3 linked regions of the Drosophila melanogaster genome follow. The protein of the gene in region 1 interacts with the protein of each later gene in a pairwise test. Each region holds a gene or a part of one and is shown in the gene's direction. Other genes may lie near its edges.

Region 1 (7,344 bases):
AATTTTAATTTTTTCATGTATGCATACATTCATAGCAGTGGCATTCGCACACTTGAGCTGCGCTTCGTCACTACATGTGATAGTAGCTCTTTATAATTACTAATATAGTTTAATCTGTCAGTGTACGTAATCTTTGAACGTCAATGTATATGTAATCTCAAAGTGGCATTGTTTAATCTCTGAGTTTTTTCTCAACGCCTAATTTTTGTGCAAATGAAACTGTAAAGTTTTAAATCAGCTCTTTTGACTGTGGCGACAATAAATATTTATCGTGCCCGCATTCATATGCATGGAATTAGCTAACACAGTGCCACGCCCCTTTTGGGCAAACAATTTAATTTAATTTTCACACCTGAACGCACAGTAAAATCCCATACAAAGTGGTTGTAGTTTGGCGTTTGTTTAGCAACGAAAAAGGACCTCTGGCGCCGTTCAGCAGCAGCAAGGATGAAGTCCTAGACTACAAACATATATTCACATGTGCTCACGGCAAATTTAATTTTAAAAAGCAAATCCGGAAATACATACGTATGTGTATATATGTATGTGTGTACGCTGAACCTCAATCAGCGAGAAATGCCCGCAAACGCGCTGCACTTTTCCGACCCACTCAGCTTTTCACCCACTTCATCCATCCAACCAGCCCCTTGGCCCACTCACATCTCTTCACCTGTCTACTCGGGCTCCATGTCTAATTGTGTATGCTTTGTGGCCAAAACTATGAGGATGCTGTTGATGTTTTTGTACCACCTCTTGTTGCAGCACATTGGTTGCCTCCCTTTGTTGCCCCTTTTGTTGCTGACTGCACCTATGTACAATATATATGTGTGTATGTTACACCAACTCACTGGTCAGTTAATGCAGCTCCTGGGCGGCCCGGGCCAACAAAGTTGTGTGTTTTATTAGTTTCTTTTGGGGGCAGTTGCCACATTTTGCGCTCACCTCTGATTGTTGTGCTGTAAATTGCATTCGGTGGTCAACAAAATGCATTTGCCAGCCAGGTCGGGCCTGAGCTTCATTTGTTCTTCATTTTTTATTCGCATTTTCAACTCGGCTGCTTCATTTAAAGTGCCATTAGGTGTGGCTCATACCTTAATTTGGTCGAAATGCTGCCACAGCATTACGGTTGCTATTAGCCAATGTTGTTGCAATGCAGCAAACACACATAAGCGGCCACACTTACATATGTATGAGCAGATAGTCGCACATTTCCGGTTGTGTGTCCGTTGGGTTTTCTTTATTTCGTTGCTACATTTTTCTCGGATTTTTTTCCACAATTTGCTTCTTGTGTGTTTGTGTTTTTTTTTTTTAGCTTTGCTCCAAATATTCAACACTTTCGCTCAGGCACCAGCGTAGGACCACACACACCACCCGCCTTCGTTTTTGTCCACTCAGGTTGCTCACTTTGGCTTTACTTTTTTTGCCAGCTTCTTTTTTGTTTTTTTTTTTTGTCGGGCCAGCAGCTCGGTAGGTTTGTTTTTAATTAAAACAACAATGCAGTGCCAGAGCCACACTTCTGTCCGGCATCTAACCCGCTTTGCACCACCCAGGCCATTCAACCACCACCCAACCACCCACAAGCCATCCTGCATGCGAGCACACATATTATTTCCCACTCACCCGGTTCGTGAGTGACTTGTTGCTGTTTTCGCTGGCGTTGTTGTTGCTGTTGCTGTTGCAAGTGTACTGCATGTTGCTGTTGTGCTTTACTTTTGCGCTTACAATTTCATTTGGCCCGCTTTTCCTGGCACCAACTGGCCGGCCACCCCTTTTGGCCAGAGTGCCCTTTGTTTTGGCCTTTGCTTGTGTGTTTTGTGTGAAAAGTGATAAGTGAAATATGCTTTTTCAGCTGCATTTTCAATTTAGTCGTTCAATGCAATTCCAATTGGATATTGCCAATGGCCAAGTTACAAGCCAACCACCCCATCGCTCCACTCGTCTCAACAAGGGGCAAGGTAAATCGAAATAAAAATAAAGAGTAAAAAAAAAAATGCTGGCATAGTGTTTCGCCATCTGAAATGTTCAAAATTGATCCGAGAGTTCACACAGAAGTCGTTTAATTGAGACTGAATTAAAATGAATTCCAACTGTATTGTGCGCTGAAGTGTCATCGTGAAATGACATCAGTATAAGCAGGGATTGGGTCAATCATTACTACACGGAAAAACAAATTGTCTTTAATCTCGGAAGTAGCGAAAAGATTAAATTTCATATTTAATAAATTTGTATTGGACTATGACTTTAGTGTTGTATTACTATAATCATGCATCTTAAAAGCCAAACTGCTTTAAGTTTAGTGCATGTCTTCTGCCCATTTAACATACATGACTGGAGTTGGCCCTCTTCTCGTCCAATTTTCCTTACCTTTGCTGGAAGTTCGCTGAACCTGTTGACTAATTTCGAATGCATCTCGCGACAAGACTGTACGTGGGCCAACACCTGACAGCCACGTGACACTATCTTGCCACCCGCCCCTTTCTGGCAGAATAATGGGTTTGTGGGCGTGGCACACGAGCACAGAACAAGCATTGTCCTGACAAAGGACCTCAATGGGTTGAGAGAACTGCAAGTGGTGTAAAAAGTGCATTAGTGGGAATGATTATCTTAGCAAATGGTCATTTACTCCAACCATGGCGTCGAGTTCATTGGGCTAAACGGAGCAGGCCATTCAGTAGATTGAATGGGCAAAGGAAGTCCACCCAGTAAGCCGTGTCATTTGTTCCGTTCGACATGTATTTCAGGCAATTTAAAAACTCAGTCAAATACAACATAAGTCTCGAAAAAGAAGTTAGGAAAATTAGTTTAAATTATAGTTGAAAGTGGGAGAATTTAGCCAAGTAAAACGTATAAAGAGAAAAATAAAAATGACTTTCAAGAAAATACTATTTGTGTGCATGGGTAAGAAATGAGATTTTCTTTTCAATTTCTTTGCCATTTTGCATGAAAAACTTACGTCATTTCGAAGGCAACTCGTGCAGCTCTCCGATGGCCGAGGTGATTATGCAGAATCTGATGGTCAAGACGAGTCTCTACTGGGAGGTGGATAGTGCCGGTCTGAGGACATGGAACACTGGACGGCGACCGAACAAGCGATGCCTGCAAATTCTGCGAGAGCACGGACTGCGATCCGATCACTTTTGTCGTCAGGTGAACTTATCCTAGCGCCAACTTATGAACTCCACATATGTATAGATTCTTACTTCTATAGTTCACCGTGAATGATTTTCTGTACTTTGATTATGTTGTGGCAATGGATGAGGCCGTGTTCAAAGAACTGCTCCTCTGGGCTGCGGACAACAGGGCTGGCAAACACTGTCAGGTACTTCTTCTGAGTTCGTTTGGCAAGAATGGACTGCCGGCCTTTATAGACAGCCTATCCCCAGTGAGTTAATTTGAGCATTAAGCAACCCACTTGTATATGTCGAACAATTGCAATCCATCCAGACCCACAAGCTAAAGAACTTTCGATCCGCCTATTACCAAATCAAAGAGTGCTGCAAGCAGCTCATCCTTAGCCAAAAAGTGGACATTGTCAAGTACGAGCTACCCAGCACTGATGATGATGAGCTCTACTACTCTGGCAAGGATAATGCGCCGCAGGACTCGGCCAAGGCGAATCACTTGACGGAAACAAGCCATAACAACAGTGGCATATATCTGCTAAACACGGAGATAAGATCCTCCGGTGGACTGATGTCCTCGTCGACCGACCCATCCAACTCGAAGACCTCGATGCCATCCTGCAGCCAAGGAGTGCAGCGAAAACTGTGCCAGAAATGTGGACAGAAATTTCTGGCTGCCCTTTAGTGTCAAGAACTAATATTCAAAGGCGGCAAATTAACCTTGCGCTTAGATTATGTAGCGTATGAAATTAAATAAAATTGACTTTTATCTGGCAGCTGTCCGCCGTCTATAAGTCTTCTGCGCCTCTTTTGATGAGCGGCTAATTGGGTTAGCAAACATCTATAAAGGGCTGGGAATTCGGCCTCTTGGCACAGATCCACTTCGATGAGCCATCGTCTAGTCAAAGGGGTTGCGGGTAGCTGAGCATGGAGCGCAGTCATTTGCCGGAGACGCCATTCGACCTGGCCCATTCTGGGCCCAGGTTTCAGGCCCAGTCGAGTGGCAATGGTTCCGTGCTGGACAATGTGAGTGATTGGGGGAAATGATTTATGTTAGTTCTAGTTTTAATTGTAATCCTTTGTGGTGGCACTTCAACTTATTGCCTTCTTGCAATCCCGCAGGTGCTGCCCGACATGGCGCACCTGGTGAACCCCTACTGGAGCCGCTTTGCGCCCATGGATCCCATGATGAGCAAAATTCTGGGATTGTTCACCCTGGCCATTATGATCATCTCGTGCTGCGGCAACGGAGTGGTGGTCTACATTTTCGGTGGAACAAAGTCGCTGCGCACGCCGGCAAATTTGCTCGTTCTCAACCTGGCCTTCTCCGACTTCTGTATGATGGCCTCCCAGTCGCCGGTGATGATTATTAACTTCTACTACGAGACTTGGGTGCTGGGTCCGCTGTGGTGCGACATCTACGCGGGATGTGGCTCGCTCTTTGGCTGTGTGTCCATCTGGTCCATGTGCATGATTGCCTTCGATCGGTACAATGTGATAGTGAAGGGTATCAATGGCACACCCATGACCATCAAGACGTCTATAATGAAGATACTTTTCATCTGGATGATGGCTGTCTTTTGGACTGTCATGCCATTGATTGGATGGAGCGCCTATGTGCCCGAGGGCAATCTGACTGCCTGCAGCATTGACTATATGACGCGTATGTGGAACCCGCGATCTTATTTAATCACCTACTCCCTCTTCGTTTACTACACTCCACTGTTTCTCATCTGCTACTCCTACTGGTTCATCATTGCCGCCGTGGCAGCACATGAAAAAGCGATGCGGGAACAGGCCAAGAAGATGAATGTGAAATCCCTGCGGAGCTCTGAGGATTGCGACAAAAGTGCCGAGGGAAAACTGGCCAAGGTGGCTCTAACTACCATCTCCCTATGGTTTATGGCATGGACACCATACCTTGTCATTTGCTACTTCGGACTCTTCAAAATCGACGGATTGACCCCACTGACGACCATTTGGGGAGCGACTTTCGCCAAAACGAGCGCAGTCTACAATCCGATTGTGTACGGCATTAGGTGAGTGAATAAATAGGTTTAAAAAAAAAACAATTTCCGTTTGATATCTATATCTAATTTATATGTTTCTTAACTTCCTTAGCCATCCCAAGTACCGCATAGTTCTCAAGGAAAAGGTATACCTTTTTAGCCATTCTAATGTTATTCACTAATCCTTTCTCGCCCTTTAGTGCCCTATGTGTGTGTTTGGCAATACGGATGAGCCGAAACCGGATGCACCCGCTTCCGATACGGAAACTACATCTGAGGCGGATTCAAAGGCTTAAATCGTGAAAAAAAACCAACGCAATTGCCTGCAAAGGGCACAGAAAAGTTTAAAAAAAGTGATGCAATATCGTAAAGTGATACAAAAATGTAAAAAAAAAATGGAATAAACCTCAGTATAACAAAAAGTAGTTTCCTAAAACTTTACAAAATAAAGTTAGTTTGCAAATTGTTTTGAAACTTACTTATTTCTAATAGTATTAAATATTGTAAAGTTGTAAATCTTGTTACCAATGGCTAGTTTGTGTTTAAACTATTAATTATACAAATTTCTCGTACACATATATGTAGCTATATATATATAGCTATAATTTTAAACCCATTAAGTTCTAAAAAGCTGCACCATTCAATGCTGACTTCCATATACCCAAAGTATTCAGCGACATCTCCTACGAACGCAATTAAATCACAGCAAATGATTGAACTTGTGAATGGAAATATGCATGCATTTTGCCACTCACTCATTGCATTCTCATTAGTCCCCCAAACCCAAAACTCTCGTAATTTTGAACTTCCACGAAGGCGGACCCTCCAGCGTTGCAAAATCAACAATGCCAGTCGCAGAGTTCAACTCCCTGGCGTCTCGGGCAGATTCATCTTCATTGACACACATTTCCACGCAGCTAATGTCGCTATTTGCTTTGTGAGGGTTTTGTCTCGCGTCTAATGATTATAATTACGAAACAGCCACCACCCACGGCCTCCAGCCTCCTACACAACCCACACCACTCATTTGCCTAATGAGCACTAGAATGCCATCCCCTCCCACCGAAATCACACCCACCCAGATTGAGATGAAAAGCTGCACTGACGGGTCTCGAGTTGACTGTCTAATTAAAGTACATCAGAAAGCACTGGGTGCAAAGAAAACAGACTCGTTGCCTGCCAGCGATCCTGGGAAGACTCCAGGGTATTATCAGTGCCAGATTTTAAGTCTGCTTGCTCCGCTCGCCTGTCGCTTAGTGGTAATTTGGAGGAGTGACCTCAGCCTTTCCATGTGCAGACGGGTGACGTGCTCGATGCAGTCCTTAAACGTTTGCTCCAGCTCACCACTGTAGAATACCTCGATGCATTTGGTCGTTTCAGTGTATGCACTATCCAATACTTCACGGGCAGCAACCTTCTTCTGATTCTCCAGCTTGACGTAGAAATCGTGGATCTGCGCATCCACGTTTTTGGCTGCCCTAGATGCGGTGTGGATTCTATGCTGGTCGTCGTAGTTCATCTTGGAGGCCACAGCTTTGGCCATTTGCTCCCATCGCGGATGCGCTGCTATCCATATCGTACACAAAAGTGTTATCAAAATAATACCGAAAATGGTTGACAGCCAACTCATTGTACACTAAGTGGTTCGAACTAAAAAATTTTGTGATTCTGTTTAGAATAAATGGCTGTCATAGGCAGTACACACCTTGACATCTCTATACAAAAGTAAAATTCCTTAAACACAAGCACGAAATACAACATAGTAAAACAAATCCATCCAACCCTAATAACTTTTTATTATTCCGAACATATTCCAAATCTGTATAACATATTAGACTTCTATGAGATTCCTAAATATTCCTCTATGTGGTTAAACTTTGTAAGATGATTACGTTAATTAGCAGAAGAAGCCAATTCGGGCGGCACCAGAGGTGGCTCCATAAATGGGCCAGTGTTCCGCGGCCAAGCGATCCAAGGCAGTATAAAAGCCAGCGAAGACGGCTTTAACACAAGTCTTGTGAAGATCGACACCTTGGGTGGATTTCAGCTCAGCCTCGCAATGGGATAAAGCCAATTTCAGAGTGTCCAATTGGTCATTGGCATCGTTCCGGGCCTCAACACTGTTGGGTAGCTTTCCTTGGGCCACAACTTGAGCGATTTTGAACTGTTCATTGGCCCAATCAATTGACTGTTGCACGGCCACATTTTGGCCA
Region 2 (8,551 bases), on another chromosome or scaffold:
ATTTCACAGTCACATCAAAAGGTCAGCTATCTTCATAGATAAATGAATGAAAACCAATTAAAAACCTATCTTTCAGAACGAATCATGTGTCGAAGAAGATTTATAGTCCGAAGGAATTTAAAATCATGGCCGAGCACATGGTTGTCCCGCGATTGTACATGGAGTTATTTGCAGTCGTTTGCATAGAAACATCTCACTACGTGGCATTTGTCAAGTCTGGATCCGGACCAGATGCTCCATGGTGTTTCTTCGATTCAATGGCTGATCGAAAAGGCAAGCAAAATCTTAGTTTTAACCTAACAAGTTTCTTATACTTACGCAAATGTTATTTCAGGCGAACAGAATGGATACAATATACCTGAAATTACGTGTGTTCCAGAATTAACACAGTGGCTCTCGGAAGAAGGCGCACGATCTATAAATGAAACTTCAACGAACGATAAAGTATTACCTGAACACGCCAAGCGTATTTTTTGCGATGCCTATATGTGTCTGTACCAAAGCACAGATATAATGATGTACCATTAGAGCAAATTTATCAATAAATTAAATGAATGCAATAAAATTTTTGTAAAAATCACATGTGAAATGGATTTTGTGCCTATTAATGGTTATTGGTTTGTTGAAAAATATGTTTTATGATATTAATATGGGTAGGCTTTACATATATAACAGGAAAAAATAAAGATAGGTGGTTTTCTATAACTAATATACCAAGTAGCTTATATTTTTTTTACAAAAAGTTTGTAACAATTAGGAAGTGCTTTTTGTTAGGAGAAGTTTTCAAGGTGACTCCAGAAACAGGACTGAACCATCTAGAGAACTACGGATCACTAGACCATGAAAGGCAGTTCATATTCCGGATATATATGGATGTATGTATACACGGGAGTACATACATACATATAAATCTTGAAGTGCCCACCATTGGTCGACGCAAAACGTCGGCGATTGCGATTGGTGGATTTGGAGGGAGGATATCCAGATGTTGTTCACTCGACGGCGCACATTCACTAAACAAGTGAAAAAGTTTTTCAGTTACTTGCCAGACATCAAAGACGAGTTTTACGTGCGACGCACTATCTGCGAAAATGTCGATCTTAAGCCGCGAATTTGATTTGAATTTAATTACGTTAAATTAGAAAATGTTTAAGAATTCCGTTGCCTTGACGTGCGAATACTCAACCATGTATTATAACTCAATTTATAATACTTCCAACATGTTCGACATGAAACGTAAATGTTTAAATCATTCTTCTTACTTCGCTGTTATTTAAATAAAATTGGGACAGTGATTTGTGGTACCAATTCCAGTACAAAAGCGACTTTTATTTTATATTTTCGTGTGTATGGAAAATAATGTATATATTTTCCAAATATTTCAGACTCCGAAAGTCAAGTTCAGCAACAAATATATAACACAAGTCACCTAGGTTATGTGCCAACTTCGAATACTCGGATTGTTAAGAAACGTAATACAGCTAACAAAAAGGAGAGAAGGCGAACCCAAAGTATAAACAATGCGTTTTCCTATCTGCGAGAAAAGATTCCCAACGTTCCTACAGATACTAAATTATCAAAGGTAACTTCACCGACGGATAGATAATCTTGAATTTAATACTTAAATACACCAATAAGCACATGAAGGTTGGATTTTAATGTTTCCTACTTAAGTCAATCTTAACTATATTCTACTTTTACTTTGTTTAAGAATTAAGATAAAATAGCCAGCGAAAAATATATTTTATAATAACTTATTCAATTATTTATAAATTTGAAGTTTGTTTGTGTCCGTTTGCTTGGTTTACTTGACAGATTAAAACATTGAAGTTGGCCATATTGTACATAAACTATTTAGTTAATGTTCTTGATGGAGATCTGGATCCAAAAGGCGGATTTCGAGCCGAACTTAAGCCGGTCAGTCGAAAGATCTGTAGCGAAAAGAAGCACTGTTTGAAATCAGAGATTCAAGTAAGAGAGTAATTTACTTTGTCATGCTTTCAATAACAAACCAATCACTACATATATTTAAATTGATCGCTTTGAATTTTGGATTTAAGTTTATCCGGCGGAATAACAATTCATACATATTTTTGCCGCTTTTCATGCATTCAAACAAAAAAATTATTAAAAATCTTTTTTGTTTTTACTGTAGGTAAATGAGTTAAGATACCATAACCTAATTGATATTTCATTCAAAAAACATATTGGCTTGCTGATTTTTGTTGTACAAAGATATAGATAAAGACAATGTTCCCGCTATAAGGGGCGTATTGTTTGTTTTTTTGCATTGATATATAGTTATAGTTCTACTATTCTATTTGGCTTTTTCATTTCGTTGAGATCTCTGCTCGGAATTTGTATTTTTATGGTACACAAGATATTTTCTCCCCCTTTTTCTGCACTGGGGCGTAGATATCTCAATTGTTTGTTTATTATAAGAAACAAAAGCACTTGACTTTATAAAAGAGCATTTTACGTTTTTCCCTCAAAGAAATAGGCGTAATTCCATTCCCCTTGTAATCCGCAGATAAAAACTCGATTGATTGTAGATATATTCCTAATGGAAGTGCGGTGCCATGTTTAGCTTCAAAAATCGGGTTTCGAAATATATGTACACAGGTCCAGTGACCAGTTGTAAGTTGTACTTTATTGTGCAATTTCGGAAGTGATAAACCGCAGACGCCTGCATCCGTAATTGAGAATCCATGCTAACCAACCGCCTCCTTCATAAAATGGGGGTGAAATAATGGCTGGGAACACTTATTTAATAGGGCAATCTGGTTTTAGATATGAACACAAGAGACAAGTGTCTAAGTGGTGCTTCAGAAACATTTTAATCCATTAGGGGTTTGATTAATTAAGTGCCTTTTTGGAAATATTGAAGTTTTGAAGTATTCTTTTTTATTAAAATTTTTTGAACCTATAAGCTTTGCTTAAGTATTTCATAAAGATAGTTTTTATAACATTGACATTGACAAAAGAAGTAAAGAAAACAAAACATTAGTTGTTAAATTTAAAAAAGGATAAGAACTATTTTCCAGTGGATGTTGTCTTTATCTGGGACTCACAAACAATTAGAAGTGAACTACATTTCTAAATAAAAAAGTAAAGTGTTTCCATAGTGCTTCCGTGCACGTGTTAAATTTTTGTTTACTTCTTAATTGTCTATTTGTGGGTACAAGTTGTATACAAAAAAAGAAAACTATGACCTGTATAAACAAATTGAGTTACTCAAATGCAATGCTTTGAAATCCACAATTCGAGTTTTCAATAGTCATGTACTCAAATTCGACATAGTTTTGAAAAGTGTGCAGACATTTGGATTAAATTCATTAGATATTTAACATAAATGGGTCTGAAAAGTATGCAATTCTTAACCGTAGTTGGGATATAGCTAAAAACATAAAAGAAATACGTATATCCTAATAACAAAAAATGAAGAACATTTTCGTCTTCGACAATTCGGTTAACGGTTTTGCAAGCAATGTAACAGATTCAATTAAAAGATTTTCGTAAAATCATGCATGTGCATAATAAATGATCTATTTGTTCCAATTAATAATGACAATTTATATTTCAGAATGTTCCATTGTCGACCAAGGGCCGCACGGGTTGGCCACAAGATGTTTGGGCATCGGAACTTATTCCAGAACATAATTAAACCCATATTTTGCAAAAATAATATTTCATTCTATATATGTATATATATTGATAACCTATATTTAAAACAACAAGAAAAATAATAAACAAATAAACAAGCAGTATAAAGACGTTCCTTTTATTGTTTAATTAAGCAGAATACTTAATTTGGCTAACCTGAAATTGTTGTCAGCAAATAAAAAGTATAAGTATATTTTACGTAAAAAAAGACTTGGTAGAAAATTTATCTAAAAAATTTTTTTTAACTTGCTCTAAGATTCATAAAAATAATAATCATTTGAATGTGGGATTTGGAAGTCAATACCCAGATATTATATTATGGGAAACAAAAGCTTAAACGATTGAGGGCCACGAATGCCCCTATTTCTTGGCCACCAATGTTATCGGTTATCGATGGATTGTTAAATGTATCGTCCACATGTAATCTCTATAATCAATTTTCGAGCTGTGCTGCTAGATATTTGTGTGAATAAAAATAGTGTTGTGTATTGAGTAATTGTTAAAAAGCTTTAATAAGCAGCTTTAAAAAAGAGTGCAAGCATTAGCAAAATATTCAATATAATGCAAAAAAGGTAGATCATCTCTATTCAACAACAATTTTCTCAAGATTTGTGTATTTTTCTTTTGCATATGGATGTATGTGTGTGAGCAGAGACACGACACTTAATGTTAATAAATAATGGACAATTACATTACGTGTGCACATGTTTTCGTGTGGTCCACATATGTATTGTGACTAGTGTACATACCTGGTCAAAGACAATGGATATTACAACTACGTTTTTATGTAACTCCATTGTTGGGCTATCAGAAAAGAAAGGTCTTTAAATTATACATACACAACTGGTAATTCGTTGAAGGAGAGAAAATCGTAAAGTGTCATCATTCTTTACACGATTCTTTAAATTCTCTTTTCACATAAAAATGAAATTACCTTTTGTGTAATGCTAAAACGTAAAACGGGATACCCATCGTTATTATCATGTGCAAGAAAAAGTATCAAGTGTAATTGAAAAAGTGATTACATACATGCATATGTGTATGTGTATATCGGTACATATCGATGTACATATGCTTATGTTGTTGATTTTCAAAACAGTTTTTAGCACTTACCGTTATCTTGTATGAAAACAATTCGCATATGTACGTACAAGCGTACATATGTGCATACATATATTATAACATCACTTGACGAACTTCGAGTCATCGCGGTGAAATTTTATTGAGTTAAGATGGCACTACGCAATTTCCCTCCAACTATCTCTTTGTCCGCCATGTGTGCATTTGGCAATTCGGGTTCCCCAAAAAGGAAAGATTTCTTATCCAATTGGCTAATCCAATATTGCCAATAAGTCTCTATAAGAATGATGAAATACGTACACACTTATAAGAAACGATTCCCATAAGGAACGACTTGCTGACTCAATTTTTGTTTTTTTTATTTAAAATTGTAATATTATCTTTGTTTACCAATCAAAAAACGCCTAGCAACCCAAAGTTGTCCTATCAACTAGATAAAATTATTTCAGTCCAGAACCCTTTTTATACTTTTCTCGTATGTTAATAAATAATTTATATGAAAGCCGTGAGTCATTAGAATATTATTGTTAATGTCTATATAATTCCTTTCTTTTTCAGTTTTGGTGTAGAAGCATAAATCAAATTTCGATTTGCGGTAAGTTAAATATACATACATATTAAATACTTTTTGTTAAGTAAAGCATTAAACAAATTAAAAAACAATAAGTTATGTTCAAGAACTATGACGTTTTCTAATTCATTGGAAAAGTAAATGTTATCAATTCTGCTGTCTACGTTAAATAATTACGTGCTGTGCTCAGTAATTAGCTGAGTAAAAACAAAATAAAACGCAAGCAACTAAAGTTTATATATAAATAAATATAAGTCCCAAAGATCTACGTTCTTTTTTACAAACTAGATGTTTGATTTTTTATGACTTCGATTAACAAAAGTTAACAAAAATTAGATCTTCAGGTTGTGAATTTAAGATTTAAATCGCACGTAAAGATTTAGTTCAGATCATCCAAAATTTGAAAGAACTGTCCGGAATATTGTATATTATTTCTTATATATATTCTTCTGCCCTGTCTGTTTTACAAGTCCATATATTAAGTATCTATTCCTCTTTAGTTGAACTACACGTAAGGCACCCATTAAAAGGCTCCACGTCTTCTTTTGATGATTTGTGACTCAGCTGTCAATACATTACATGTATAATAAAGTCAGCTTTAAAGTCAATATTCAAAATTTTGTTGTTGTTTTCCTTACAGATGGGCGATGTCGACCCCGAGACGCTGCTGGAATGGTTGTCCATGGGACAAGGAGATGAGCGGGATATGCAACTAATCGCACTGGAGCAGCTGTGTATGCTGCTCCTAATGTCCGATAATGTAGATCGTTGCTTCGAAAGGTATTATTGTCAGCGATAGAAGATTTACCATTTGATCACTATCTAATCTGTCCGTCCCCAACATCAGCTGCCCTCCTCGAACATTTTTACCGGCGTTGTGTAAGATATTCCTGGACGAACTTGCACCTGAAAATGTACTCGAGGTCACTGCGCGAGCCATCACCTATTACCTGGATGTTTCGGCTGAGTGCACCAGGCGTATCGTTTCCATTGATGGCGCCATCAAAGCCATATGCAATCATCTAGTGGTCGCCGATCTATCATCGCGCACATCTCGCGATCTTGCCGAGCAATGTATCAAAGTGCTCGAGCTGATTTGCACCCGAGAAGCTGGCGCCGTCTTCGAGGGCGGCGGCCTCAACTGCGTACTGTCCTTCATACGGGACTGTGGCTCGCAGGTTCACAAGGACACCTTACACTCGGCCATGTCGGTGGTATCCAGGCTCTGCACCAAGGTGGAACCTAATACTCCATGCATACAAAACTGCGTCGAGAGTCTGAGCACTCTGCTGCAACACGAGGACCCCATGGTATCCGATGGAGCTCTAAAGTGCTTTGCCTCTGTAGCAGATCGATTTACACGAAAGTGGGTGGACCCAGCACCGTTGGCAGAGTACGGCCTGACAACCGAGTTGTTGAAGCGCCTCCAAAGTGTCGGAGGAAACACGCACTCTTCGCTGACAGCGGCTGGAACCCAGCCAACCAGCTCTAGCCAACCCGCTGCAACCACAAACTCGGATGCCATTAATGAAAACGTTGCTGGAACTGCAACCATATCCAACAGCACCAAGGTTAAGTCATCTGATGCCGCCGCCTCGCCGCAATCGATATCAACAACGATTTCCTTGTTGTCCACACTTTGTCGCGGATCACCCTCGATTACCCATGACATTTTGCGATCCCAATTGGCTGATGCCCTCGAAAGAGCTCTGCAGGGCGATGAGCGATGCGTGTTGGATTGCATGCGATTTGCGGATCTATTGCTGTTACTATTGTTCGAGGGTCGCCAAGCATTAAACCGAGGAAGTAACAACCCCAATCAGGGACAGTTGGCGCCTCGACCAAGGCGTAATAATACCAACACCGATCGCACGCATCGCCAGCTCATTGATTGCATACGATCAAAGGATTCGGAAGCCCTTCGTGAGGCCATCGAATCGGGTGGCATTGACGTCAATTGTATGGACGATGTGGGCCAAACACTTCTCAATTGGGCTTCGGCCTTCGGTACCTTGGAAATGGTAGAATATTTGTGTGAGAAGGGAGCCGATGTCAACAAGGGTCAACGAAGTTCGTCCCTACACTATGCAGCTTGTTTTGGTCGCCCGGCTATTGCGAAAATCCTTTTGAAATTCGGAGCCTATCCGGATTTGCGAGATGAAGATGGGAAAACGCCATTGGATAAGGCGCGAGAAAGATTAGACGATGGACATCGAGAGGTAGCGGCAATTTTGCAGTCGCCTGGGGAGTGGATGTCGCCAGATCATTCGCTTCTCAACAAAGATGGCAAAAAGTACACACTAATGGAGCCCCGAGGTGATCCGGAAATGGCGCCCATTTACCTAAAGGTCCTTCTGCCCATATTCTGTAGAACGTTCCTGGGTTCGATGCTGGGCAGCGTCCGGCGGGCCAGTTTGGCCCTGATCAAAAAGATAGTTCAGTACGCGTACCCAACGGTGCTCCAAAGTCTCAGTGAAACCAGTTTTAGCGAAGATGCAGCGTCGACATCGGGTCAAAATGGTGGGAACCTACTAATTGAGGTGATCGCCAGTGTCCTAGATAACGAGGTATAAACAATAAGCAGTCATCATCACTCAAATCTAATTACTATCTTTAACGATATTGTTGCAGGATGACGGTGACGGTCATTTAATAGTTTTAAATATTATTGAGGAAATTATGTGTAAGACACAGGAGGAATTCCTCGATCATTTTGCAAGGCTAGGAGTGTTTGCAAAGGTCCAAGCCCTGATGGACACCGATGCGGAGGAATTGTATGTACAATTACCAGGGACCGTAGAGGAACCAGCCGCAGCGCAAAGATCGTCGACCAGTGTAGTCGTTGCTCCTAGGCCAACATCAGGTATATTCAATATATTTGATTTGAAACCAATTCTTATCGATCGGACCATCCCATGTAGATGATCCTATGGAGGACGCGAAGGAGATATTGCAAGGGAAACCCTATCACTGGCGCGAGTGGAGCATTTGCAGAGGCCGGGATTGTTTGTACGTCTGGTCAGATTCTGTGGCCCTTGAGCTGTCCAATGGCTCAAACGGATGGTTCCGCTTCATCATAGATGGCAAACTGGCAACGATGTACTCCAGTGGCAGTCCGGAGAACGGAAATGATAGTTCTGGTAAGTGTTAAAATCTGCTAGATAAAAAATTTATTAAATTTTCTGTTTGTTTTTAGAAAATCGGGGCGAGTTTCTTGAGAAACTGATGCGTGCTCGG
Region 3 (8,040 bases), 9.0 Mb from region 1:
TCGAGCATCTCAACGAGTCCAAGGAGTTCGATCTTCTGCGCTCCACCCGCCACTTTGGACCCATGGCCTTCTTCTACGCTTGGCACCGCTGCATCGACGACCTGCTGTATGACATGATCCGTCGGGATTATCTGCACAATGCCGTGGAGCTGATTGCTCTGAGCTACAAGCTACACAACATCCCAGTGGAGTATCAGGCAACGCTGACCGAACTGGGCAAACTGCATGCCACGCCGGCGGAAAGTGCCCTGGCGGAGCTAAGAAGCGTCTTCCGACGACATGACAATAAGCAGAACATTGAGCAGGAGATCCATACGGCCATTGGCAAGACGGAGCACGATTTCGCCGCCGATGAGATCAGCCTGAAGTTCATTGAGCAGTACATCGCCAGCGAACATGCGCTGAAGAAGGTGCAACTGGAGCTGGCGGTGCAGACGCTTAAGGAAGTTAACCGGGAGAAACTGATGCTGTTCCAGGGACTGAAAAAGGCTCACGGCGTCCAGGCTTCGTAGGATCTATTCGCTTTATTGTTATCGATTTCTATGTACTAATAAATACCAGCTAGGTCAAGATTTCTATACGCTGTTCATAGCTCCTTCTTGAGGACCCTGGACAGCCGTCTAAAATGGCCAAGGATGCACTGTCTCCGGTGCCGCAGGCATACCCGCTCGCTGCTGAAACGCTTCAAGCAAACTGAGCAACGTCTGGGATCACCTCTTCCATTGGGCAACCCGTTGTGTTCGCGAAATAGGACGACCACTTTCGCCTTGGCACAACTCTGTTCTTTTTTTCGGTGTACCAAAAGAGAGGTGGTGGTCTTGAAGTAACGTTTGCACTGAAGACATCTGTAGCACTTCCTGCCGCTATGGTTTCTCAGGTGCCTGAGCAACTGCATCTCTGAGTGGCTCATGGCGTTGCAGAGTAGATGTGGGCATTTAAAGAGCATCGATGACTTCCTGGGCGCTAGAGCGGGACAGCTCAGACTGTGTTGCTTCAATTGTTTCTGGTGGTCCAGACGCTGACCACAGCGAAAGCACAGAGCACCAGGTCCATAGTGCGCGGTCATGTGGCTCTGGTGCTCCAGCAAGGTTTTGGCCACATCGCCGCACACCGCGCACTCCATCATGCCGTTGGGAAATATGAATGTGTTCTCGCTCACGTAGGTGAGAAATTTGTCGGAATTGGAGGCCTCAGAACCGGTATCCTTTGGCCGTTCCTCTGGTAAATACCACTCCTCCGAATCGCGACGGCATTGAATGCCCGCATCCTTAGTGCCCGCATTCTCTGTTTGAATGGCGCGCTCTCTGCGCGGCACCATAGCCTCGTTCGCAAACATTCCAGTGACCTCGTTGAGTCTCTTCTGCTGTACGGATTTCTTGGGAGACTCTGTAGCGCCTCCATTGGTGATCGGGGCATGCAGTTCTTTCACTGGAATGCCATTCTCTATCGCGTACTTGCGTGTCACCCACTTGGTCTCCACGCACACGTATTCCGGCAGCTCGAAGACGGGCAAAGGGATAGACTTCATCTGAACAGGGCTGTGGCGTGGTGGTTTTCCGGCGGATATCGGTTGACCGGCCAACGCCACCTTTGCCGGTTGCGCCGGGTACATTTCGTTGGTTCGGGGTTCTCAAATGGCACTAAATCGATACGTATCCGAAAAATGAATTCACATTTTACTTGGAACTTATTTTATTTTTGTTATTAATTACGCTTGCTTTTTATAAAAAGACGCGAATTTTACTGGCGCAAAAAATTCAATGTTGCTATTGGTGCTGGCGGGCTAGCTTTTTTCCCGCCATATCCGACTTCTTTTGACTATTATGACAGTTGGAATATTAAAAAATTAAAATAAAATATAAATCTAACAGTTCTTTTTTCATGGCAATCAATACGAAGTGCTGAATAACTGCATGTTCTCTGATTATACTGTGTTTATAAACTAAAATTTCTACCAAATTTGTTTAGCAACAAGTTCTCTTAACAGTGCCATTTTAAATAATTAGGGGTATTCTTATGAGAAGTATGACATTTTCTAATGAATTCAAAATTGTATTAAGCAAACATAAATTTGTTATATATTTTATATTTCATTCAATGCCTATTATAATAGTTTAATTAAACTGATTGTAAATCTGGTGGAAAAATCAAATAAAAATTGTAGTTATTTTTCGTTTGTTTTGATGTATTAAATCAATCATTATTATATTGTACAATTATTCGGGCAGAAACTGCCCTAAGCACTACTTTTTACTCTTATCCTTGTCCTTGATGGTGTACTTGTCGTAGGACTTGGTGGGATCGTAGGGCTCCCATCGGCTGGCTGGGAAGATGTGCTTGTTGCGCTCGTACCAGGAGCGGAGGAGTACCTTTCCGGCATGGGACTCCTCCTTCTCCACGGAGGCGTCGCTTATCATGCGCACATCGTCGTGGACGTCGAACTGGAAGAGCGGGCCGGATTTGCCGCGTGCCTTGGTCACGATAAAGTCGTAGAAGGAATAGTGGTGCGGCAGGATCAGATCCTCCTTGACGTACATCAGCTGGTCGGCCATTACGGTCTTCAGTTCGATGAACTCCTTGCGCAGCAGCTCCAGGCACTTCTGCAGAAACTGGTAGATGGAGTTGCCCTTCTTCATCAGCACGTTCCGCCGATGGCCGGAGCCATCCCAGTAGCTGAACGTGATGGAGATGTCCTCGTCCTTCAGCTCCGCCTGCTGCATTACCCATTCTTGACGCAGCTGCTCGCGCAGTCTGTTCTCCTGCTCCTCGCGCTCGCGATCTGGCAGAAAGGAAGTGTCCACGTCAGGATTCTTGCATATCTTCTTCTTCTTTATGGGCAAAATGTCTTCCTTGATCTCCGTCCACTTGGGCTTGGGCTGATCCTCCTGCTTAATCTTCAGCTGTTTCTTATCGTGATCCTCGTCGTCCTCCTCCTCCTCCTCCTCGTCGTCGTCCAGGTTGAAGGACAGCGCCTGGATCTGCCGCTTCTGCTTGTTCTTCTCCGCCTGAATGGCCTCCAGGGCGCGCTGCTTCTCCCGATCCTTTTCGTCCTTCTTCTGGGCGAGCTTCTTCTCCCGTTCCCGCACTATATCCTCCTGCTTGGCCTTCATCTCGTCGAGGGTGACCAGACCAATGGTCGAGGACTTGAGCTGCTGCTCCACGGCATCGTAGTGGGTGGCAAACTTGTTCTCAATCTTGTCCAGCTTGAGCTCCTCCTCGATCTTCTTCTTGCGAAACTCGATCTCCTGCTGCTGGATCTCCCGCTTCTTCATCAGCTGGGCTGCACGGCCCGCCTCGCTGGCGGCACCTTTGTAGTGGGCCATCCTTAGTTGTTTCTGTATTTATTTATATTTTTTTTTATTTAATTCGTAAACGAAATTTGTAAACATCCAATTGGTGTGACCGTAGCAGAAACATTGAAAAATGCCATTCTTCGTATAAAAAATTTACAGCACAAAACACTACCTTACCAATTTGAAATAATAAAATATTTAATCTTGAAATTATTTAAAATTTACTAGCTGTCCATTCCCCTGATATAAGAGCAAAAAGAAGAGGATCACTATTTCTCTGCAACGATTTTGAAAAATAAAGATAAATCTTAGATTTTTAGCTGTTTTTTTTAATATCCTTTATATTTAGTTACAGTCGTAAGTTTTTCTTTAACTTGCTTCATGCTTTCGCTCAGTGTACTAAATCTACGTTGATCCATTGGAAGATTCCTCCTGTGCCTCGGATTTGTCCTCCTCCTTGCTGTCACCATCGGCATCTGTTCCATCATCGCCAGGTTGGCTTGGATCTGGATTGCTGGAGCTACTGCCGTTGCTCTCGGCCAAATCGTTCTGGTCGAAACCATTCGTGTATTCCGGCGTTGGAGCCGTGTCATTGGCGCTGGGCGGCGGGGTAATCTTCCGCAGCTGCTGACGGGCGGCATGGACGATCTTTTCCAGCTCGACGCACTCCGTCTCGATCTCGTAGTTCTTGGAGACCAGCAGCACCCAATGGGCTTCCAGGGAGCGCAGTCGCTCGCCGGCCTGCGTTTGCGCCTGCTTGCGCTGCCAGTTGACATCTTGAATGTCCTTCTTCAGCTGCTGCAGCTGGAGCTGCGCCTTCGCCTGCATGGCGGTGAAGACCTCCAGGTAGGACTTCCATGCCTCCGTGCCGTAGTCGAGCATTAGCTCCAGGTTGAGAGAGCGCACCCACTGGTGCTCCAGCTGGGCCATCGAGTTCTCAATGGCCTCCTGCCAGGCGGACACCTCCGACAATTTGCCCGATGGCGGCGGTGGCAGTTCGTAGCGCTTCATGGAGAGCGTCTCCATGGGCAGGCGGTTCTGGATGCGCTCGAACTCGTTGGCCATCAGCGGAGTCTCAAAGGGCGAGCTGGCGGGCAGTGGCAGATGGTCAAGGTAATTTTTTGTGGGCCTATAGCGCCGGCATTCCTCCTCCACCATGGCGAGAGCCTTTGGAAGAAGAAGATGCCATTTCAAAGTCAGTTTCAACGTGCAACATGGATATCCGTATATTTACCGATTCCCGGACGCCCACATCGTCATAGCCGTGATCTATGTAGGGCAGAGCATCCACAATAACTTCGCCAGCCATTATTTATTATTAATTTCTGTGTTTTGAGACTGTTTTTTCCGCAAGTAAACAAATACAATTGCCGCTTCGCACTAGTGTGGCACATTTAGCTACTTTATAGCTATATAAACGGATAACAGAATGCTGTTAATTAATAGCCATATATCTATTTAGTAAATTTTTTTGTTTTAACATGAACATTTAAGCAAAAAATAAGCGTTGTTTTCTCACCAATAAAAGTTGTGTAAGTTAGTTTTTAACGTATGTATGTATTATGTATTGTTTGATTATTTATTATGCGGTTAAATTACAACAATTGTATTCTTGTTCTTTAAAAACGCATTGCTAATTTATAAATTTAACTAAAATACGTTATTGATAAATTCGAATTTAGATTTGTAATATTATAGTTTAATTGCGAGAATATAAACAAAAACTTCTCTTACGAGAGAAAAAAAAAGCTAAAAGTGTTGGACAGCGTCCAATTAGCCCTGTAAGCTTGACACTTGCTGCTGTTAGCAAATGCAACCATGCGCCGTGGAACGCGATTGGCAGCCATTTCCGGCAGCTCTCTTTCTTTCTTCGTTCTTCTTAATAAAAAGAGGACGGTATCTGCGTTTGCAGAATATTTAGCACCTTTCATTGGGTTTGAAAATCAACGAAAATGGTGAGAAACGAAGCACAAGGCACTCCGCAACCGCAGCAGACCCCAAAACATTGGATTTAACACACGAAACGATGCGAAAATAGTGCAAAAGTGTCGCCCTAACCTCCACGTGTTTGGAATGTGCGGCGATGGCGAAATGCGCTTGTTGTGTTTTGTGATGTGAAATGATCAGTGAACTAAACCCGAATACCATGTGCACTTTCAGAGCTTAGGCAACGCCAGGCCATTGGTCTCCGTGTACACGGAAAAGAACGAGCCAGCCAAGGACAAGAACATATGCCTGCCGGCAGTGTTCAAGGCGCCCATTCGTCCGGATGTGGTCAACGAGGTTCACCAGCTGCTCCGCCGCAACAACCGACAGGCCTACGCCGTCAGCGAGCTGGCTGGTGAGTAAACTGTTTATAACTCCTCTTTTGTGTGAATCTAACCCGTTTGAATTCCTGTTTGCAGGTCACCAGACCTCCGCCGAGTCCTGGGGTACCGGACGTGCTGTGGCCCGTATTCCCCGTGTGCGTGGTGGCGGTACCCACCGTTCCGGCCAGGGAGCCTTCGGCAACATGTGCCGTGGTGGACGCATGTTCGCCCCCACCAAGACGTTCCGTCGCTGGCACCGCAAGGTGAATGTCAACCAGCGTCGCTACGCCCTGGTGTCGGCCATCGCCGCCTCAGGAGTGCCAGCTCTGGTCCAGTCCAAGGGACATGTCATCGACGGCGTCTCCGAGTTCCCGCTGGTCGTGTCCGATGAGGTGCAAAAGGTCCAGAAGACCAAGCAGGCTGTCATCTTCCTGCGTCGCCTGAAGATCTGGGCTGACATCCAGAAGGTGGGTAACTTTGTACACCTATGAAGAACTTAATCCGAAGAATGTTAGGTCACTTAACTGTGCGTCTATTCAACTTCAACGTATTTATTTAACAAAACGTGAAGTTGTGATGTTTTAATTGCAAAGTTATAACTTTTTATTGGATTCCTACTTTTCGGATGCTTTCTAAATCTTACTTGGCAGCGTGCAAGCAACTGGCTACTCTTCTGGTTGTCCGATGCTTGCAGGGATCTCCTGCGTTGCCAGATAAAATGCTCTTCTTGGCGTTACGATTGAAACTTGATTCACGGCTTCCATCGTGGTAACGGAAGAGCAACAGCTGTTGTATTCATGTTCTCTATTTCCGAATTCCTGGAATATACATACTCACTATCAACTTGTTTCTCATTCATTTCGCAGGTGTACAAGTCGCAGCGCTTCCGTGCTGGCCGTGGTACCATGCGCGACCGTCGCCGCATCGCTCGCCGTGGTCCCCTGGTGGTCTACGACAAGGACGAGGGTCTGCGCAAGGCCTTCCGCAACATCCCCGGCATTGAGACCATCAACGTGGACAAGCTCAATCTGCTGAAGCTGGCCCCCGGCGGTCATGTCGGTCGCTTTGTCATCTGGACCGAGTCGGCTTTCGCCCGCCTGAACGATCTGTTCGGCACCTGGAAGAAGCCGTCCACCTTGAAGAAGGGCTACAACCTGCCCCAGCCCAAGATGGCCAACACCGATCTGTCGCGTCTGCTCAAGTCTGAGGAGATCCGCAAGGTGTTGCGCGATCCCCGCAAGCGTGTGTTCCGCAGCGTGCGCCGCCTGAACCCCCTGACCAACGTGCGCCAGCTGATCAAGCTTAACCCCTATGCCGAGGTCCTCAAGCGTCGTGCCGCCCTCGCCGCCGAGAAGCGCACCGTGGCCAAGGTGCTGGCCAAGGCCAAGAAGCAGAACGTCGAGCTGGCCAAGTCGCACTTCGCCAATGTGGCCACCAAGGCTGCGGCCAATCGCGCCAAGCTGCTGGCCGCCCGCAAGAAGAAGGTCGCCGCCAAGAAGCCAGCGGCCAAGAAGTAAACTTACTTTCCCCCGAGTAGAGCTGACACACTTTTATATTATAATAAACCACAAAAGTTGTATGAATTTTATTCATAATACATAGAGTGCGCGACAGTAATGCTCATTAAACTCTTAGTCTTAGGCACATCATTTAGTTGGCTCTCTTTTTGGTCGTCTTGCCTGCCGCGCTGAGCGATCCCATCCCTTATCATTCTCCCGCTCGCGCTGATAACAGCGGCATGGCATCTGCATCTGTATCTGTGGCGGCGGCTGTAGCTTTCGTTATCGTCCGTCGTGCTGCCGCCGATGGCGATGCCGATCTTGGTCTTCGTACACGTTCGCACATCCATGGGCCGCACATATACTTATTGTCACACGTTAATTGGCATTTAATTAAGCGTCGAGCGTCGTCGCCGCTCTTATTCGACTGCGAACGGTCGACTGGCGCGGTTCTGCGTATCGCGAATATACCGAATCCCTTTTGTGCGGCAAATAAAAGGCTGGGAAACAAAGGATATATATTTTTGATTCAATTAACCGATGTAATTTCGCGACGGTACCATAGCATAGTAGGTAGCAGTCGGTAAACCGGTTCCAAGCCCACTTTATTATATAGCAGCTTGCCAAAAATAAAGGTAGATGCTATCTCGCGCAAAATCTGAAAGCTCGGATCATACGATATTTTCTATGTGCGGGTCGCGACCAATGTCTGGTTATATTGAGTAGAACGCAATACCATATAGCCACCACCACCACTGATCGGCCAGGAGAGCGAGAGCGGCATCGGCATCCCGCAGAGAGAACGCTGGAGCGGAGCGGCCATCATCTCCAACCGTCTCCTCCACCATTTTCCATCAACAACATTTATATATATTTTTTTTTTTTTGCCACCGCAGTAGATGGCAGTGCAGTAGTTGTGGCCGCTGCCACCAAAAGGGT

What was found.
Region 2: the proteins of Rh2 (region 1) and Ufd4 interact in a two-hybrid assay, tested with the Drosophila melanogaster proteins (one large-scale study listed by BioGRID).
Region 3: the proteins of Rh2 (region 1) and RpL4 interact in a two-hybrid assay, tested with the Drosophila melanogaster proteins (one large-scale study listed by BioGRID).

What each region holds. Positions count from the first base shown.
Region 1 is NT_033777.3:18,895,429-18,902,772, forward strand, and holds Rh2 (rhodopsin 2), read left to right. Parts: upstream 1-3,994; 5' UTR 3,995-4,049; coding exon 4,050-4,148; intron 4,149-4,244; coding exon 4,245-5,161; intron 5,162-5,243; coding exon 5,244-5,277; intron 5,278-5,331; coding exon 5,332-5,427; 3' UTR 5,428-5,591; downstream 5,592-7,344. Other genes in the region: CG14297 (uncharacterized protein), read left to right, coding at 2,865-2,898, 2,966-3,147, 3,209-3,382, 3,445-3,807; CG14294 (uncharacterized protein), read right to left, coding at 6,342-6,761; CG34284 (uncharacterized protein), read right to left, coding at 7,029-7,344. UniProt on the Drosophila melanogaster protein: Visual pigments are the light-absorbing molecules that mediate vision. They consist of an apoprotein, opsin, covalently linked to cis-retinal.
Region 2 is NT_033779.5:10,287,894-10,296,444, reverse strand, and holds the start of Ufd4 (ubiquitin fusion-degradation 4-like), read left to right. Parts: upstream 1-4,079; 5' UTR 4,080-4,235; intron 4,236-5,301; 5' UTR 5,302-5,338; intron 5,339-5,954; coding exon 5,955-6,094; intron 6,095-6,161; coding exon 6,162-7,881; intron 7,882-7,945; coding exon 7,946-8,177; intron 8,178-8,235; coding exon 8,236-8,454; intron 8,455-8,510; coding exon 8,511-8,551. Other genes in the region: CYLD (cylindromatosis), read left to right, coding at 1-21, 77-273, 335-528; hand, read left to right, coding at 1,146-1,236, 1,386-1,582, 1,816-1,971, 3,584-3,664. UniProt on the Drosophila melanogaster protein: E3 ubiquitin-protein ligase which accepts ubiquitin from an E2 ubiquitin-conjugating enzyme in the form of a thioester and then directly transfers the ubiquitin to targeted substrates.
Region 3 is NT_033777.3:27,917,672-27,925,711, forward strand, and holds RpL4 (ribosomal protein L4), read left to right. Parts: upstream 1-5,149; 5' UTR 5,150-5,245; coding exon 5,246-5,248; intron 5,249-5,453; coding exon 5,454-5,634; intron 5,635-5,698; coding exon 5,699-6,069; intron 6,070-6,243; exon of another isoform or gene 6,244-6,390; intron 6,391-6,468; coding exon 6,469-7,119; 3' UTR 7,120-7,217; downstream 7,218-8,040. Other genes in the region: mRpS22 (mitochondrial ribosomal protein S22), read left to right, coding at 1-512; Boh1 (buddy of Hmr 1), read right to left, coding at 587-1,612; CG12259 (uncharacterized protein), read right to left, coding at 2,244-3,323; BCAS2, read right to left, coding at 3,699-4,460, 4,528-4,602.